Rattus norvegicus: one gene and its partners. Each later gene encodes a partner of the first gene's protein in a complex. Links are inferred from orthologs where the notes say so. Each region holds a gene or a part of one and is shown on either strand. Other genes may lie near its edges. The genes, in order: Pole3, Chrac1 and Pole4.

Evidence for each region.
Region 2: Pole3 (region 1) and Chrac1 share a complex: the UniProt entries of both Homo sapiens proteins name them as parts of the CHRAC ISWI chromatin remodeling complex. The link is inferred for Rattus norvegicus from reciprocal best matches to the Homo sapiens genes POLE3 and CHRAC1.
Region 3: Pole3 (region 1) and Pole4 share a complex: the UniProt entries of both Homo sapiens proteins name them as parts of the DNA polymerase epsilon complex. The link is inferred for Rattus norvegicus from reciprocal best matches to the Homo sapiens genes POLE3 and POLE4.

What each region holds. Positions count from the first base shown.
Region 1 is NC_086023.1:80,989,163-80,995,706, reverse strand, and holds Pole3 (DNA polymerase epsilon subunit 3), read left to right. Parts: upstream 1-2,964; 5' UTR 2,965-2,977; coding exon 2,978-3,043; intron 3,044-3,137; coding exon 3,138-3,223; intron 3,224-3,533; coding exon 3,534-3,652; intron 3,653-3,884; coding exon 3,885-4,051; 3' UTR 4,052-6,199; downstream 6,200-6,544. Other genes in the region: C5h9orf43 (uncharacterized protein C9orf43 homolog), read right to left, coding at 2,114-2,174. UniProt on the Homo sapiens protein: Accessory component of the DNA polymerase epsilon complex. Participates in DNA repair and in chromosomal DNA replication.
Region 2 is NC_086025.1:106,900,119-106,906,418, forward strand, and holds Chrac1 (chromatin accessibility complex protein 1), read left to right. Parts: upstream 1-1,934; 5' UTR 1,935-1,946; coding exon 1,947-2,093; exon of another isoform or gene 2,094-2,524; intron 2,525-4,103; coding exon 4,104-4,230; intron 4,231-4,774; coding exon 4,775-4,887; 3' UTR 4,888-5,323; downstream 5,324-6,300. UniProt on the Homo sapiens protein: Forms a complex with DNA polymerase epsilon subunit POLE3 and binds naked DNA, which is then incorporated into chromatin, aided by the nucleosome remodeling activity of ISWI/SNF2H and ACF1.
Region 3 is NC_086022.1:116,725,276-116,731,698, reverse strand, and holds the start of Pole4 (DNA polymerase epsilon subunit 4), read left to right. Parts: upstream 1-2,847; 5' UTR 2,848-2,908; coding exon 2,909-3,124; intron 3,125-3,544; coding exon 3,545-3,629; intron 3,630-4,071; coding exon 4,072-4,113; coding exon of another isoform or gene 4,114-4,154; exon of another isoform or gene 4,155-4,188; intron 4,189-6,423. UniProt on the Homo sapiens protein: Accessory component of the DNA polymerase epsilon complex. Participates in DNA repair and in chromosomal DNA replication.

The DNA of each region.
Region 1 (6,544 bases):
ACAGGGAAGGAAAGCGGAGGAGGCCAACCCTAGATAAAGAACCACAGGAGATTGAGGAATGCCGGGATCTGAAGAAAGTTTGCCCAGGGAGAAGGGTCATACAAACTGATCATCCAATACCAAATGGTCAGCCCTGAAGACATACATACAAATAACATTATTCTGACTTAACGGTGTGTGTGTGTGTGTGTGTGTGTGTGTGTGTGTGTGTGTGAGAGAGAGAGAGAGAGAGAGAGAAACAACAAAGGAAAAGAGGCAATGAATTTGAAAAAGAAGGGAGGGGTACATGAGAAGGGTATGGAGGAAGGAAAAGGAAGGGGAAATGATGTAATTATATTATGATCTCAAAAATGTTTTGATTAATTTTGTAAAAATTGTACACGCAGGCTGGAGAGATGGCTCAGCGGTTAAGAGCACTGACTGCTCTTCCAGAGGTCCTGAGTTCAGTCACCAGCAACCACATGGTGGCTCACAACCATCTGTAATGGGATCCAATGCTTTCTTCTGGTGTGTCTGAAGACAGCTACAGTGTACTCACATACATGAAATAAATCTTTAAAAATATATTTAAAAAACTGTAGACGCGGGTTGGGGATTTAGCTCAGTGGTAGAGCGCTTGCCTAGCAAGCACAAGGCCCTGGGTTCGGTCCCCAGCTCCGAAAAAAAGAAAAAAAAAAAAAGAAAAAAGAAAAAAACTGTAGACGTATCACCAACCCCTACATATGACATGTAACAAGTACCCAGTAAATATTACCAGGCTAGGGAGATGCCTTAGTAACTAAAGCATTTGGAGGGCAAAGCATGAGGCCCTGAGTTCAAATATCCAGAACCCACATAAAGCCAGGCACAGCGGACATCTGTGATCTCATTGCTCCTACTATAAAATAGAAAGCAGAGAATCCTCTGAAGCTTGTGGGCTAGCCTGCAATAAGATTCTGTAAACAGCCAAAAAGAGATCCTCTTTTAAGGTAGAAGGCAAAGAAAGACCAACTTCCAAAGTTGTCCTCTGACCTCCACATCAGCACCATGTGAATGTTCATGCTCACACATATCTATGTACACACACTATACATAGAGAGAGACAAGTAAATGAAATTATACTAAGCTATTATCAATCTCCCTTTTAAAGATGCTATGCAGTCACTACGACTACCTTATTGCTCCTAATATATAATTATATTTTATCCCTTTATTTGGTGGGCATGGGTGCCATGGTACACACAAGGAGGTTAACAGGAAGGCCATCCTGTAATGAACCCAGAGACTACACAGCTCACTGAGCCATCTCACCCTGTCCCCTTTTTAACTTTTTTTTTTTCCGGAGCTGGGGACCGAACCCAGGGCCTTGGTTGCTAGGCAAGCGCTCTACCTCTGAGCCAAATCCCCAACCCCCCCTTTTTAACTTTTAAGGACAGTGTCCTTTTCTTCTTCTATTTATACTTATTGACTGTCAAATATATGAGAGGACCTGTTTGGGACATAGAGAATAGCAATAAACAAACACTTGGTTCTAAACAGCTTCTAATTTAAATTAGAGATAGGGATCTAGTGGCCTGGGCTGCACCTGGCCTAGGAGTAATTTATCTTGGCAGGCACTTTTAGCCCATGTCTTAAAAACTGAAATGGTCCTATAATGTTAGATTTCTGGCTTTTCTCCTAGATCAAAATGCCTGACAGCACCAGTTCTAGCTAAATGGTGGCTGGAACTAAGGCTTATGACATCCTTAAGACAGGCCTGTTCTAAGTGCAGAATTCTCTCCATCAGAACAATCCCTTAGCATCATCACCCTAAAACTGTTGGATCGTTTTGTTTTGTTTCTCCAAATAGGAAAATGTTTCTTTGTAACGTCTCCATTAAAAATAGGAAAAAGTCTTGGAACATGTTTCAAGAAAAAAAAAAAGAAAGAAAAATTAAGAAGGAAATAAGCATTAGTTCTCAGGAGTATTTTTTTTTCTGTGCTTAATATGAAAATTATACAACTTAAAGCGACATTGTAAATGTTAACTCAAGTGATGATGATTTTGATAAGAAAAATGTAAGATGACTCACATAATGAATTAAAAAATACTTTAACACGGGTTTTTGAATGAGAATACAATGCATTATTCTTACAGTCAAATGCTTTTCGCCCTTTCATTACCGAACCAGTCCGAATTGAGCTGCGAAGTCTCATCAAGCTTTTGAGATTGCCCAGGTTACTGCTGTCCGAATAATAGCATTTTTTTAAACGAAATTTTAGATAAAAGTTATTCTTAATACAATTATCACAAAGTTGTGAAGGGAATGAAATTAAAGATGGACAATTCTAATGCATAATTCGGTGTAGTAGAATTGAATGAAAAGCTACACTGAGTTCCGGAAAAAAAGGGATGGGGAGGGCCACTCAAGTGTCCGTAGTCCGCGATTTCGCGGGATCAAAGCAGATTCCAAAGGGCTGTGTTCTGAGCCTCTGGGGGCGGACAATACTGAGATTGCGAAAGCACTCCCAAGTCTTGGCCCCGCCCACTTCTTCTAGAGGCCCCGCCCACTCGTCGGTCCCAGTCCTGCCTTGTCGGGCTCAGTCTACGCCTACCCCTTCCAAACTAAGCACCAGGCCGCACGGTTGCCTAGCAGCGGCGCACGGCACGATGGGAGAATAGACGGAAACCTCAGAGAGTCAAACTTAGTTTAGTCCGAAAGCTCCAGCGATGTGTAGTAAGAAACAAGCCTGGAGTGGAACGTCCAGGATGCGGTGGAAGCGGATGGAAACCTCAATGGTCCGAAACAACTGCGACATGGAAAAGCTGGGCTACCCTGGAGACTTGTGGCGGGGTTGATGTAGCAGAGAAGTTGTGGTGCGCAAAGCACTGTGGGACACTGGCAACGTAGGGTAGGACGGAAGCTTCCGAGGGTCATATCTTAGCGACGCGGGAAGTCCAGACACCAGAACTGTCTGCGAGGAGACCTGAGGAGGAGGGTAGGGCCCAAGCGGAGGCAATGGCGGAGAGGCCTGAGGACCTAAATCTGCCCAACGCCGTCATTACCAGGATCATCAAGGAGGCGGTGAGCTGCTCGGGCTGGAGAATGGGTCGAGGGCGGACGTGTGCCAGAAAGTTAACAGAATCCGCATGTGTGTTCATCTCCACTCTCCCTGCAGCTACCGGACGGTGTCAACATCTCCAAGGAGGCCCGAAGCGCCATCTCCCGCGCGGCCAGTGTTTTCGTTTTGTATGCCACATCCTGGTAAGCCGAGCAGAGGCGGAAGGGAGGCGCAGCGGGATCCTAACCCTGCGTTCGTGTCCTGGAACCCACAGGCCCCAGTTCCCTGCTTCACTAGAGAGCGACTCACAGCTCTCCTGCAGCCTCACAAATTCTGAGGCAGGTTAAACAAGACGGTTGTCGTAGCCCTTTGTACGGGGAAGGGATGAATTGAGCTGTGCCATACAAAAACCCATTCATCTAAGATAAATGTGGCTTTTCCCACCCCATCTCTGGCTGTCTCATGTCCCCACCACTTTGACAAGCTTCTGAAGGGCTTTGCTCTTTCTTCCAGTGCCAATAACTTTGCAATGAAAGGAAAGCGCAAGACTCTCAATGCCAGTGATGTACTGTCAGCCATGGAAGAGATGGAGTTCCAACGGTTCGTAACGCCATTGAAAGAAGCGCTAGAAGGTATCCATGTGCTCTTCTGCTTCTTAAACCACGTGAAAGATGTTCATCCTTTGTTCCCTGATCACCTGATTTCAATACTACTGCCATTAGGTCCCATTCACTGGTCCAGGACTGGTCATGATTCCACTCTGTTGAGTTGGTACCATTTCGAATATGTGATATGGGCCTGTTTATTCCTCTGGTGCCTCACTCGGTTTGTCTAATTAAACAATAATCCCCTGCTTCCTTACAGCATACAGGCGGGAGCAGAAAGGCAAGAAGGAAGCCTCAGAGCAAAAGAAGAAGGACAAAGACAAAAAAGATTGCGAAGAGCAGGACAAAAGCAGAGAGGAGGAGGATGAAGATGAAGAAAGACTGGATGAGGAAGAACAGAACGAAGAGGAGGAGGTAGACAACTGACTGGAGAGAGTGGGCAGACTCTGACACGGTGGAAGGGACCCTCAGATACTGAGATGTGTTTATGTGAAGCCTCTCCCTGCAAGGCAGAGCCATCTTCCGCAACGGTGCCTGAGATCAAAATAAAAACTGACCAGAAAGATCAAAGCTAGCTAGCTCTTCCCAAACTCAGAGCGTCTGAGTTACAGAAACCAGCTTTGCTTCATCAGTCTGCAGGTTATGCCTTATTAGTGTAAGGGATTCCGAATGACTACATAGTTTGGTATTGCTTGTTTACTTAAAGTGTATAGCTAGCTAGTTTTTGATCCTATTTCCCTGCTCCTCCAAAAAAGTAATAACATGTTTCTTGCTGCGTTCCAAGTTGCAGAGTTGCTAACCGGTCAGGGGGAAATGGGGCTTGGACCATGGTCACCCTGTTTGACTGTACAGTAATTGACAATAGATATTAATGCTCAGAATGGTTGCTCTTTAGGAAATGACTAAAAAGCTGTGAGAGAATAAGGAAATCTCCTCACTCGATGGTAGCATTGCTTGGCTTCTGGCTTTCTACACTTAGCTTTGTAGTCCTGTAGTGACTGTAGATGCCCAGTGCTCTGGTGTGGCTCCACTCCTAAGACATATACTCTTAAATTCTGAGTGTTGGTTAGAATCTGTCAAAAAAGGGTGCCAACTCCCCACCCCCACCCCCCCAGAGATGAGGATTGAACTCAGGGCCTTGCTAGGCAAGCGCTCAACCACTGAGCTAAATCCTCAACCCCAAGGGTGCCAATTCTTAAAAGCAGGTGGCTTAAACTTGGCGGTAACTCAGTGCCTGCCACTGTAGAACCTAGTGCCACCTCTTGGAAGGTATAAAATCCCAGATTGTCTCTTCTCTAGTCCACCTCTCAGATGATGGCTGCTGCTTTTTATCCCCTGAACTCATAGCAAGTTCCAGAGACTTTATCTCCTCCAGGCACAGCCTTTCTGTCTCCATCTCTCCCGCCTCTGCTTCCCAGCCCTGCTTTCTCCTCCTCTTATTCATTTCATCTTCTAGTCTAGGGACTCTGATAAAGTGCAAGGTCCTCAGATTGTTTCCTCATCTCCTGTCTTTTAAAGAGACTTGAGAAGCACCTCTGACCCTGAAGGTGAGAGAAACGGTGCTCAGGAATGTGGCACCACTGCTGCAGCTTTGAGCGTGCCTGTTGGCCTTTCTTTTCCCCATTTAGTGCTCCAAGCACTTTCTCTGTCTTAGTTGTGCACATGAGGCTGACAGGTAATGTAATATAGTTGAACACTGTTAACTAGTCAGGGAAATACAGGGAAGAGTTTGTTGAAAGTGACTGGAGACTGTTGAGAAGATTTTAATGCTTTCTACAAATAAATTCTTGTTTAAATGATGACCCACACAATGTACTTTTGGAAAGGACTCACCAAGACACCCCTCTTTTACCCCCTAACCTCAGCACACATACAGAGTCCTGTGTCTTCTTGGGTTACCAGCAGGTGAATAAGTAATCACAATTTAAGGGCACTGCTCTTCCTGAGATTCTCCTGGTTACTTTGTATATCTCACTAGCTCCCACTTCCTAAGCTCTTCCAGTGTCTAGCATTGTTCTAAGTGCTTTCAAGTATCAATTCCTATCCATAGATGTTGCCTCTATTAGCTCTCAACCACAGCTCTGTATCTCCAGTACACACAGTTCTCAAGTCATATTCACAAAGAACCCCAGTGGTCCTTTGGTTTATAGGCTTTTTCCTTCACAGCAGAAACATTGTTTAATTCCCATAAGCACAGTGCTAGACCTACTCAAGTCCCATTTATAATCCTGTGATTTCCTTTGAACTCAGTTTCAAATGTATAACTATATGCCAAGTAGATCTTCCTAGAATATACCTTTGCTTTCAGTGAGATCAAATCCATAGTTAAACCTGTTATTCAAGGCTTGTGTAAGAAGGGCTTACCCTACCATCTAATCTCCACTCTAAGGCTGTCAAGAATTGGAAGGGGCTCAGTCACAGAGCACTTGCCTAGCATGTTCAAACAAAACAAAAACCAAACTCTTCCATGTCTCGGGTTTGTCCTGCCCAATCGCTTAACTATAACATTCTAAGAGAAACCTTTTCTGGGAATGGAGGTTTGGATTTAAAAGTAAAGAATTCAACATCTGGAAAGACTCTGAGGTCATCCATCAGTTTTTTCTCAATCACACCTACATCATCTCATAATGGCATCTGGATTCTGAAGGTTTTCCATCAGACTTTCTCATCTCTTTAAACAATGAACAGAGACTAACCTGGATCTGGGCCATGGAAGAGCTCTTGTTCTAATCCATTCGAAACTACTTGGAGGCTATGAAGAGATGGCTCAGCAGTTAAAAGCAATGACTGCTCTCCCAGGGGACCAGGGTTTGGTTCCCAGCACCCACATGGCAGCTCACAACTTCTATAGCTACATGCCCTTTTCTGCCCTCCTGTCACTGCAGGAGGTTGGTACAGAGCCATGCATGCAGGCAAACA
Region 2 (6,300 bases), on another chromosome or scaffold:
GGTTAAGATTGTCAACCTGACAGAATCTAGAACCTAGTATCCTAGTTACTTGTCTGCAGAGAGAATATCTTGCATATAGTATGGATGTATCACCTGCCAATTAAAAAAATGTATGGCCTATGGTTTAGGTGGGAAATAGAGGTAGGACATCTGACAGAGAGAAAGGATTCTGGAAGAGAGCCAGGTGGGAGATTTCGCGGGGAAGATATGATGAGATGAATGATACCTGAGCACAGGTAGCCAGCCACAGGCAGAATAAATGGGATGTTTTAAGTTATATCTAGTTAGAGAAGAGCCTAGCTATATGGTCAAGGTATTTGTTGTCTGAGTCAAGGTATATTATGAGTCTGAGTGTTATTTCTGGGAGCATGGGGCTAGGAGGAAGAACCAAGGCTTAACTTTACATTAACGTTTACATTAACATTAAATTTACATTAACATTAACATTACTAGAACACAACCAAACGGAATCAAAGTTTGATACCATCAGTGGAAGAGAAGCATTCCAGTGTTCAGATGGGTGTGTGTCTGTGTGCCAACCCTCCCACTCATGCTGGGGAGGGAGTGGGGTTAGTGGCACCCCAGCTTCCTAAAACAGACCTTTTCTTGTCTGCCTCACTTGTGTGACAGGTAGCAAGTAAGAGACAGACAAAACTCATCTTGTTCTAGTGGCTTTCCTTTGCTTCAGATCTGAGAACAAATACCACTTTTCAGAGGCCAGCCTATCACACAGGATGACACTTCCCATTGGAAATGATATTCTTTCTCAGTACATCTGGGTGAACATAGTCTTGAAGGCAGGCAGCATGGCTACCTTGCTCACTGACTGTGCCTCTTTAAGCCTGACACTAACACTGAGCATGCGTTCTACATCTATGGTCTTAACCAACCTGAGATACAAAGTATCCAGGAAGAGAAATCGTCCCTGCTGATTGGACATGTAGAAATCTCTTATCACTGTTCCCTAACAGTCCAGCAACTATTCAGATGGCATTCACAAAGTACTTATCAAGGGTACCCAGATGTAGGCCTTATATGAGAATGTGCCTAGGCTCTATGCAGCTACCTTATGCATTTAAAACACTTAAGCATGTACAATTTCAGTATGTGTGGGGATCTTAGAACCAATCCCCCATAGATACCGGGGGACAGTTGTATTTTATTATTGGACTAGGATACACTATGGTAAAGAAAGCTGAAACCAAATGTGATCCAACCTCTAACATTCTGCCAGCCTCCAACTATATTTAGTGCCAATTTACGAGTTTTTGACCTCTTCAGACTGCATTAACTTTATTTTCCCAAGTTCACTCCACGAATTTCATGTAGGTAGAATTTCAGTCTGGTAGTGTCATCTGCCATGGTGTCCCACTTTCTGATATTCTTCGACACTGCCCTCTGGACCACTACTTGATAGGATGTTTCTAATCGTCTTCATTCTACCTTGTCTCTGCATTCTATTCCTTAAGACACGGTCCATCTTCTTCAACAAGAGCTTGTGGGGCTAAACTGGCCTAGAACTCTTGGTGATTCTTTTGGTTTTGTGGTGGGACTACAGAAGACTCAAGGACCATTTAGTTCACCTGCCTGCTTAAGAGGTTAATCCCCATAAGCTTCAAGACATGGGTAGGGTTGCCTTTTCTCCCTATTCCCCTGGCCAAACTGTTTGACAATAAGAGTGTGGCTCATGCTTGCTGGCTCCCTCCAGAACATGACCTCATAAGACATTTCTTTTATTTTTTTCAGCTTTTGAAAGGGCAGGTCTGTGCAGCTCGGGTCTTCCCGAAGTACTAAGACGCTTGAAAGCGCTTCTTCCGGGAGATTGCCGCAGCGTTTCCGAGGGGTTTTTCCTGGGCGCTGTCTCCCAGGCTTTCAGGCCACCGCGCTACACGGAGTCTGCGCAGGCGCGGCCGCGCGGGGCATCACGGGCCGCCCGGACGCGGAAGATGGCGGACTCGGTCGTGGGTAAGGACAAGTGCGGGGAACAGCGGCTCGTGTCGCTGCCCCTGTCCCGCATCCGAGTCATCATGAAGAGCTCTCCTGAGGTGTCGAGCATCAACCAGGAGGCACTAGTGCTCACGGCCAAGGCCACGGTGAGCGGCCAGCGGGGCGACGAGAGGGGCGGGCACGGGCACCAACCGCCCCTTGGGCTCCGCACACTCCTAGCCTTTGGTTGCCCTGCGGGAGCCGGGAGTCTTGGTCTCTCCCTGCGCCTGCGCATTACACACCCACTCTCCCGTGGTCTTAGCTCCGCCCACTGCGCCGCTCCCGCTGTCCTTTGCGCTGCTTTTGCTCTGCATCACTTCGCTCCCAGCGTTCTCTGCGTTCCGCCTACCGCGTCACTCCCGCCCTGCTTCGCACGCGTGAGGAGCTAAGTGCGGCTGCGCGAGTTGACCAGTGAGGAGGGCGTACTGTCTACTTCTTTTCTGTCGCTGACTTCCCGCAGAGTGATGCGAGGGTTCTCGAAGCATCCAGGACAGCTTGCAAGGATGTCTAGGGCTCTTCAGCCCTCAGGACTCTGGAGGTAGTCAGGTTTTAAGCAGACAACCGCTGGTCACAAGTTAGACTCTAGAGACAAATTATAACTGCACACCCCCCTCCAAACACATCACTTTGTTTCCTTATTTTTATATTTCAAGTCAGCTCTCAGTATTTCTCCTTACCTTGGAACCCTGTAGGCCAGGATTACCTCAAACTCAATCTGCTTGCCTCAGCCTACCAAGTGCTGCTGGAACCATACTCTGCTACCCTGGTCTTGGCCCTTCTGAGTACTGGGATGAGAATTTCCTGACACCACTCCTGGTTTAAAGTTTGGTCTTGTTTGTGGTAGACCGAGAACCTTACTGTTCTGAGACCCGACATGATTACTGTCTCTACATTCTTTTCCAGTCTCTGCTTCTAGAACATCAGTGCGTAGTATCTTTTACAATATTTTATAATATTGTAAAATTGTAATATTGTAAAATACTACAAAAGAAATACAAATCTTGTGACTACAACTGTCAACCTTAAGTTAGAGCCTGACAAAATACAGTTCCCCAGTTTCCTTGCATTGGTCCTCCAAAGCCAAATACAATGTTAGGATAACAGCCCCTTTTAGACAGTGGTGCATATTTACACGTAAACTGTACATGTCTCATTTCTAAGTCATCTCAGGATCATGGGATCAGGATTATTTGTGTGGTGCTGGGATTCACATTCTTTTGTAGGATTCTAGTGTTAGGACCTAAGCACTATGCAGACAGTTCTCTGATCACTTATTAGCTGAAATAATACTAAACCTTGGGGAAGGCTCAGTTTTACTTTCTGAGCATTGGGATCTCGTTAGTTCCACACCTAGAAGGTACTTGGGCAAAATGAGATGTCACCTTTCAGCCTGAGGTTGTTGGTTTTTATTATAGTTGTGAGTGAACAACTGACAAGGGATTCAAGTAGGCTGAAAATGTGTTCCTAAGACAGATAGGTGGCAGCTCACATCTGTAATAAAATCCTTTGCAAGCCAGATATAATTTGGTTGGTTGGTTTTCCTTTTATGGAGACATGGTTTCTCTGTGTAGCTCTGAGTGTCCTGGCACTCTGTAGACTAGGTTAGCCTTGAACACAGAGATAGGTCTGCCACTGCCCCTCAAGTGCTGGGATTAAAGGTATGTGCCACCATGCTCAGATAACGTTTTTGAATGGTCTTTTACTCCGTTTTGTGTAGGCTGGTAACACCTCCTTATAACCCCTCCCCCATCCTTTTCAGACAACAGCTCGTGTAGCCCAGGCTGGCCTTGAACTTGATATATAGCCAGAGCTGCCTTTGATTTCCTGTGCCTCCTACCTCTGCCTAAATGCTGATAAGTATATACCACAGCACCCCCCAAAACCACTTGTAAAATATTTTTCATATTTTTACAGTCATTTGTAAATATTTATATTATACACTTCAGCTCAGCTGGGAAATGCCTGCTGCTTCCTGACTGACACTCTTGCTTCCTTTCTGATTTCATGTTTCTGTCTCCTGTAAATTAATTCCCTGTCATTTAATTGAGGAACCAAGATAATGTGAAGTATTAATGGAATTTTAAGGTTGTAAACTGTGTGATTTCTTGTTGGTTTAGGAGCTCTTTGTTCAGTATCTAGCCACCTGTTCCTACAGACACGGCAGTGGCAAAGCCAAGAAAGCGCTGACATACAGTGACTTAGCCAGCGCTGCCGAGGATTCAGAGACACTTCAGTTTCTCGCAGGTACTTAATCTTTGGGACATTCTGGTTAAAAAACAAAGAACCCTTGTAGTGGGCTATTCTCCCCTCTATTGTTCTGCTCGGTGCCTCGGTTTATCTGATCTGGCACAGGGAGTTGTTACCAGCCTCCATTTGAGCCCACCAAGAAGCCAACAGTACACAGAAGGTGCATCCATGGCCAAGCAGACTCACTGAGAGCTGGCTGCTTGTCCTGTTCCCCTGCACGCCAAACAAAGCAGCGGGTGCATGCAGCCATGGGTCAGACTCTGACTAGAAAGAGCTTCAGTCTAGCCCAGGGGCCAGTTTAGCCTCTCAGCTAGCTTGAACAGTGTTCACAAAATCAGGCCATAGAAACATGTTTACCAGTGTGGAATGCCCAGGAAACAATGCCCATTTCTGTTATTCTTCACCTAGAAGCACACCTGGATTTCATCTTGTTTAGAAGGTTGTCTAGGGTTAAAGGTGGAAATAATACATTGTAAAACTTGAATCATTGTAGTCATAGTTTACCATAACCAATTATTGACACCGTTTTTCCACTTTTAAGATATATTACCAAAGAAGATTTTAGCTAGTAAGTACCTGAAAATGCTCAAAGAGAAGAGGGAGGAAGAGGACGATGATGACGATGGTAGCGACCTTGGTGAAGTGCCGGCTTAGGCCAGCAAGAAGAGCTCTCAGCGAGTCCCGTGAGCACACACAAGGACACACTAGCAGCTGCGAAGTGGAGGGACTGCAGCGTTGTCTCAGACTTGCAACTTGTTGCATTCGCTCTTTCAGTGGGAAGGACTAGACAGCAGCCTCCTCCACAGGCCCTTCAGTCACCTCGTCTCCCACTAGGAGAGTCCTGGGCAGATGGCACTGCTCTGGCTTTGGGTACAGCAGCACATACCACTGATCACACTGAACTTGCAGGAAGACCCAGGAAGCTCCATGTCAGCTGCATAGTCTTGTGGACAGACACTCTGTTCTCACAAACAGCTGCATGCATACTGTGCTGCCTTTGATTTTCTTTTTAAAAATGGACTATGCAGTTTTATTGTATGGAGATTTGCTCTTCTTTTTCCATTAAAGGTCTGTATGTATTTTACAGTAACATGCTTTATTGAAGTGGTTTTCAGTTCTTTGACATTTCACGGCGAGCATCTGGCTGGGATGCGATGCAGGTAGAATATGTGCTTAGTACGCACATGACCCTGGGACTGCTCTCAGCACCACAGCAAACAGCAGCAACAATAAGTAGCTGCCTCATCTCCTGAGAAGAGCCCCGGCTCATCCATCAATCACATGCAGTTGAAGCAGCCGTCCTCAGTGTGTCTTAAGAGTTCCTATAGCTGTGATGAGACACCATGACCAAAAAGCAAGTTGGGGAGAAAGAGGTTTACTCAGTTTGCACTCCCACATCAATGTTCATCACCAAACCAAGTCAGGACAGGAACTCAAACAGGGCAGTAAACTGGAGGCAGGAGCTGACGCAGAGGCCACATGTGTATCTATGTATATGCTTCTTACTGGCTTGCTCAGTCTGTTTTCTAAGAGAACCTAGAGCCACAAACCACATTGGGCTTGGCCCTGCCCCACTGATCACTAATTGAGAAAATGGCTTACCTCTGGATCTCATGGAAGAAGAAGTTCATCAACTGAGGCTCCTTCTCTTGCTTGAATCAAACTGACACAACCAGCCAGTCCACTGTGTAAGGGTATTAGACAAGCTGGGCATTGGGGACATTTCTCATTTTTTGTCTTATATATATCCAGTAGAATCATCTTATGGCCTATAAAACTAGACAAACAGTTTTATTTTTGTGTTTTAGTCTTGCTGTATAGAACCCTTGCTGGCCTGGTACTTGTGATCCTGCCTCAGCTTCCCCAAATAATCAGGGATAAGGGCGTGCCAGTCCTGTTGGCTGTTAATTTGTAGTTTGTTACAAATCAATACACGGACCACCCGTGGGTAGTATTTCCATGCTACCCATAGTTAATCTCTGCCCCTTACCTGCTAAGGACCACTATTTTCTCTCTCTCCTCTTCACTGGCTCACCCTGTAAGCCCTAGCTGGCCTAGAACTCTTTG
Region 3 (6,423 bases), on another chromosome or scaffold:
TGAACCTCACAACACTCCCCTCTGATCTCTTATAGATTAGCCACAGTTCCTTTTCTTCATATTATCTCCTGAGAATAAAAAAATCCAATATTCTAGATCACTGAACTGAAAAGTAATCTGCTGGGAATGAGTTAGGATAGCCTTCGGTCCTTCATGATTGCCACTCAGAGTGGCTCATAAACCATCCCAAGGGTAGCCGGATCCCACAAAGGAGAGCTCAGGACAAGCTGAAGGCTGCCTTCAGAGCAGGGCTGCTGTGTAATGCTGTCAAGTAGAGGAGGAGACTGAACAAATAGAAAAACTGTGACCAAAGGCATCAGTACACTCTCTGATTTTTAGGTTTTTAAAGTTATGACATTTATTTGCTTTCTGTGAAACAAAGTATATGAGCAAATGTCAAGTTGATTGCTTAAAGCTGAATGCGAAGGCTTGGGCTATAACTCCATCACTTGGGAAGCTGAGGCAGGAGGACTGTCACCAGTTCTAGCCTAGCCTGGGCTACAGTCTCATAACATAAGGAAAAATATTGATTTTCCAAGATAGTGAATGCAGGAATGACTAGAGACCCTTAGCAGGCATTTTCAAACAATGACTTCTGCCCTTAGATGACATCCTTCTGAGGCGATATCAATTTCAGATGAGCTATTGCTAATGATCCATTGACTCTGTAAATACTGAAAACCTAGGTGTCAGGTACTTTATCATAGTCTCAAGACTCAATGAACAAAACCAGACAGAAACACCTTCCTTCAGGAGTTTTCAATCTGGGGAAGGTGGGGCTAGAAGAGTCAAATACTGATTTAAAAAAAAAAAAAAGAGGAAAAGAAAGAAAAATGGCACAGGGAGAGGCTTGGTGCTGCTACTGGGACCAGCACTCTGAAGGACTGTATGCAGTGGTATGACTGATTTAACTTCATCTGTAGAACTATCAGAGAACCTGGGATCTGAAGTGGAGAAAAGCTTTGGGGCAGAACAAAAGAACTAGAGACACAGTTTACCTGATCCAGACATAGAGAGGACCTGGAGATGTTACAAAATGGCAGAGGATGGAAAGAGACCAGCTGCAGAGATCCTTGTCTGTTACATTGGATTTGTAGCATTTCAAAGTTGGGGTGAAAAGACTGGAAATCCATGTAGTCAGTTTCTATGAACAATCAACCAATGAGAATAAAGTTTCTTGGTATGTTTTGTTTCTCTTTTTATTAAATACAAAGTAGAAGGAACTCAAGGCAAAGGTCCTAAGGAAAACTCTGGTACAATGTAATTCATCTCTCTTCCCCTGAAGCTTTTAATTCTGGCGAAGACTCATTTTGTTTTAGTGGGGCCTCTGTGTATAGATCCAGTCAAAGTTTATTGCTTAAATTTGAAAGTGAATGATTTCAGGTTATTATCCAATGCAATGAGCCCATATTCCACAGGTATACTATTGAACAGTCTGTGGCTCAGTCATAGCTGTAAATAAAATTACTTACCTGCCTCAATAGTACAGGTATTATGACTAAACATTAATATTTATATAAAGCAATCAACTAGCTACACAGTGTTTTTATTATGCCTTATATTAAAACTTTGATGTGTGTTGGGTGCATTTGTTAGTATAAAGGCCCAGGGTCCACCATCTCGCTGATTTGGTTAGGCTAGCTTAGCTGGCCAAGGAGTTTCAGCCATCCTACTACTCTTACTGCAGAGATTACAGGAGTTATGTCGCACTTGCCTTTTACTGTGTTCTGGCGATTTGAACTCAGGTCCTTGATGTGCAGCACTTGACTGAGTCATCTCTTTTGCCTATTGCAAATATTTGCCACTCCTCCATGCCAGATCTCCGGTGTGGTATGAGAACTCATAGGGAAGGAGGAGGTGAAGAGAGGCTTCTTGGAGAACCTTTCCAGAGGCCTGTGAGATCAAAGCGATTTTCTATTTTAAAGATAGGGTCTTACTATGTAGTTCTAGCTGGCTTGGGAACTCCCTCTGTAGATTAGGCTGGTTTCTGCTACTCCAGTGCTTATATTAAAGGTGTGCACCACCACACCCGGTCAAAGTTATCTTAATACCCAGAAGTCATTCTCATTCTCTCAAGAAGGTGTAGTGGAATTTTCCATAACTAAGCAAAACCGGATAGTAATAATGTTCAGAAGCAGCTAGATGATCCAATCTTTTTCTTTCTTTTTTTTTTTTTTTGGTTCTTTTTTTCGGAGCTGGGGACAGAACCCAGGGCCTTGCGCTTCCTAGGTAAGCGCTCTACCACTGAGCTAAATCCCCAGCCCTGATCCAATCTTTTTCTAAGGGAGACAATTTTTTCTTATCAAATTTTTTTAACTTACTTGTCATGACAATGTTTTGCTAACTCCACATACCAAAATTTTAAAACGTAAAAATGTGCAATTAATGTTGATATTTCCTACAGAAACACACTTTTTGATTGTTTTTTTGAGTAAGGCCATCAGTGTTCTGATGCAACCTACGTTTGAACGACCAGACACCACAACTTGCTCTCTATGTCCGCACGCCTTTCTTGGACTGCACTTCCAATTCTGCCCGTCAAAAGTCCCATTCCAGTTAAGACGTGATCCCCGGAGATGGCCTGGCGCTGCGCGGCACCGCATTGTGAGGACACCCATGGGTCCCCCTTAAGTGAACCTTGAAGTTAGACCCTGAGAACCTACACAGGCTCTGGCGAAGCATCCGGACTTCCGGCTCAGCTAGGCCACGCCCGGCCGCTTCCAGGCTCTCCCCCGGAAGGCAACATCAGAAGCCGGAGCCGGAGGGGGGCGTTTCTGGCGCGCCCCGCCTTGTAAGGGAGGGGCCACGCCCCCACAGAGAGGCGTGGTCTCTAACCGGCGCGGGAAAGGGGCCGGAATCTCGTGTGCGCGCTCAGACAGCGATCGCGCGCAGCACGTTTAGGGAGGGGATGGCGGCAGCGGCGACCGCTGGGAGCGGGACGCCCAGAGAGGAGGAGGCTCCCGGAGGGGAGGCAGCAGCTTCGCAGGCCCAAGCCCCGACGAATGCACCCGGTGGGGCTCGCCTTTCGAGGCTGCCTCTGGCGAGAGTAAAGGCCTTGGTGAAGGCAGACCCTGACGTAACGCTGGCGGGACAGGAAGCCATCTTTATCCTGGCGCGTGCCGCGGTGCGGCGGGAAAGCAAGGGCGACTGGGTCGGGGAAGGGGGCGTGGTTTTTAGGGGGCGTGGCTCGGGGTGTGGCAGGCCCTGGTATGCTGACCTGCCTGAGACCTAGGAAGGCCTCTGTAGGCCCCATTTGAGTTTGTTAATCACTCCACTTCAGGGGGCTCAGGCAACTTTAGTTTGCACCCTCCGGGGCTCACACAGAATTTGAAGGGGGCCCTAGTGAATATTTATAAATATTAGAGCAGGGTGACTGAAGATAGGGAAGGGGATAGCAGAAGTGTTTTTGTGAATTTTAGTACAATCTTAACTTCTAGAACTTTCCTGTGTGGTAGAGCCCCCTTTTACCCTTCTTGCCCACATATACACAGGTTTGCTCACTCAGTGGGCTATAATCCACTAATCTGCTCTGCTTGTTTTGCAGGAGCTGTTTGTGGAGACTATTGCAAAAGATGCCTACTGCTGTGCTCAACAAGGAAAGAGGAAAACTCTTCAGAGGAGAGATTTGGGTAGAGTCACTGTGGTACCTCAGGGTGGACAGGGGAGCTATGGGCTGGGCTTTCTTAGAGCTGGTTCACAAGGCATCACTGAAGCAAGGTTTTTATTTATTTGTCTAGCTGGTAACCCTTGCACGTGTGTTAGACTTTAAAGACTGTATCTCTCATTCCCTCTTATGCTGCCAAACTCTTCTTCTAGTATCTTTAGAGAGAAAAGTGGATTTAGGAACGAGACAGGATTGTAGGAGGCCTTACCGAACAGCATTTTCGTGGGCTTTTGTGCCGAGACAGTTGAAAGAATTTATAGTGTAAAAATTAGGACATCAGGGAGATTGTTTATAAATGATGTCATTTGCATAAAACTCCATGTTTGTTATTATGTGGATTGTACTGTTTTGTGTCTGATGTCCAAATGACTAGAGCTAATCAAATATCCCTTTACCTTGTATTTCAGATAATGCCATAGAAGCTGTGGATGAATTCGCTTTTCTAGAAGGTGAGTTCACTGTCAGCACAGACTGCTTTCTCTGTCGATGATGTGAACTTCGAATCTCATAAAACCTTATAAAAACAGATGTGTGGTTCTTTGTACACAATGGAATTGATTCTTCCCATTTTGATAGAAAAGAGGAACATTTTCCATTTGTGGGAATTAGAAATTCTACAGTGAAATTGCAAGCGTAAAAGAAGGAGGGAGTATAAAAAAAATACCAATAGAGTTGGATTTAGATTTTGAATCCTATTTAAATCTCTGTCCCTAAATATCAATATTGCTCCCTTATACTGTTTAGAATAAGACACAATTCATAATTCTTTAAACATTCATTTTTACTTATGTGTATGTGTGCTTATACATGCCAAATATATGAAGGTTCCCTTAGGAGCCAGAAGAGCAGTGTGAGGTGCTAAACCTGGGTGCCGTGAAGAGGTCTTCTGGAAGAACAGCAAGCACTTTTTTGTTTTGCTTTTGCTTTGTTTGAGACAAGGGTTTCTCTGTGTAGCCCTGGCTGTCCTGGAATTCACTCTGTAGACCAGGCTGGCCTTGAATTCCCAGAGATCCAAGATCCACCTGCCTCTGCCTTCCAAGTCCTGGGATTTAAGGCGTATGCTACAACTGCCCTCAGAGCAGCAAGCACTAAATCAGAGTCATCTCTTCACCCTCAGTTCCTGACTTTAAAGACATGTTCTCATGTATCTCAGGCTGGTCTTGAAATTTCACTGTATAACTGAGAATGACCTGGAATTCCTTTTCTGTCTTCCTCACCTCCCCAAATGCTAGTAATAACAATAATAATAAGTAAATAAATACATAAGTAGGCATATACTTTCTCGCCTGGCTCTGAGATCTTTTCTTCTCTCTTTATTCTGCTTCTCTGTGTCAGCCTATGCCAATGGCACTCTTTAGATGTTCTCTTCGAACACGTTTTAAGATATCTCCCCAATGTCTGCTTCAAGTCTAGACTTGAGTATTCTTTTAAGTTGTAGATCTTTGTTTTTCCACCTATTTGTCTTAAAAATAACTTGAATTAGTTGCCCAACTTGCTTTATGGCCCAGTATATGGTCATTCTTGGGGGGGGGGGGGGCTCTGTATATGCTGGAAGAGAAAGCACTCTATTCTGTTTTGCTTACTTGTTTTACCAGTTGCTGAGTAAGAATTGCCTGTTAAATTCTCCTACCACAGCTGCAGATTATTTTCACTTAAATTATTGATTCTGTTTATTTTGTAAGACCATATGGTTAGGTATGTAAAAGTTTAATAATACTATGTTGTTTGTGACAGCCCATGGTGTTTAATTTATAGGTTGATTATTGTTATTTCTAGTGATTTTAAAAGGAGGTTATTAGACCTTCCCATTTGGACAGACTGAGGTTTGGTTCTTCCCTCCCTCAGCCTGGCACACAGCCCTTCTCAGCTCTCTCACATTGACACATGCCTTCAGGGCCACAATAGCGTTCGAGGTTGACCTTACTTAGTGACTTTGCTCTCTCTAAGTTGTAGATTTAACTCTTAATATGATTTTCAATTATTGAGAAATTTTATTTTTAAAATATGTTTAGCTTTATTCGTTGCTCTAAACACAGACCAGCCATCGTCAAAAGCGGAAGTTTCCACGAGTTCATGCTTGTGAATGCCAGTCCTTGGGAGACTGAGGCAGCAGGATTTTAAGTTTAAGGCCAGTCTGTGCTACAAAGGGGGCTCCAGCCCACTTTGGCTAGTGACAATATTGCCTTAATCAACAACAGAACACCCCAAAGAAAGTTACTATTTTTTAGTTACAAGTACTATTGGTTTGGTTTTTCTAATGTTTATCACCCTGATGTAAACTTTATTAATCGAATTAAGAAATAACTTTGGCCTCTCCTTTTACTACGAAGTTTCCTTCAGTACAGTGCTTTTCCTTCTGTGTGAACATAACATGAGGCTGCTTTGGAAGCTGAGTGTCTGTAAAGTGATGGTTGTTGCTTTGCAGCTTCTGGGTAAAGAGGAGCAGATGCCCTGCTGAGGCCCCACAGGCCAAAATGCAGGATGCTTCCTGGGAGTCTGACTGCCAGAGGCTGCTCTGGTTTTCCAAGATAGGCCACTTGGTTCTTTGAGCAAAGTCCTGCGATTTTTTTTTTCCTCTCCTTCATGTATGTTTAAATCTGTGGCTGCTGCGTGGAGGCAAGGTTGTAAGAGGCATGAGAGAGGGAAGCCTGTGTCCTGTGGATCATTAGCTCCTTTCCTTTCACTTCTTTTTCTGTCAATGCAGTTAACTGGAACAGTGGTTCTCAACCTTCCGAATGCTGCGACCCTTTAATAATACA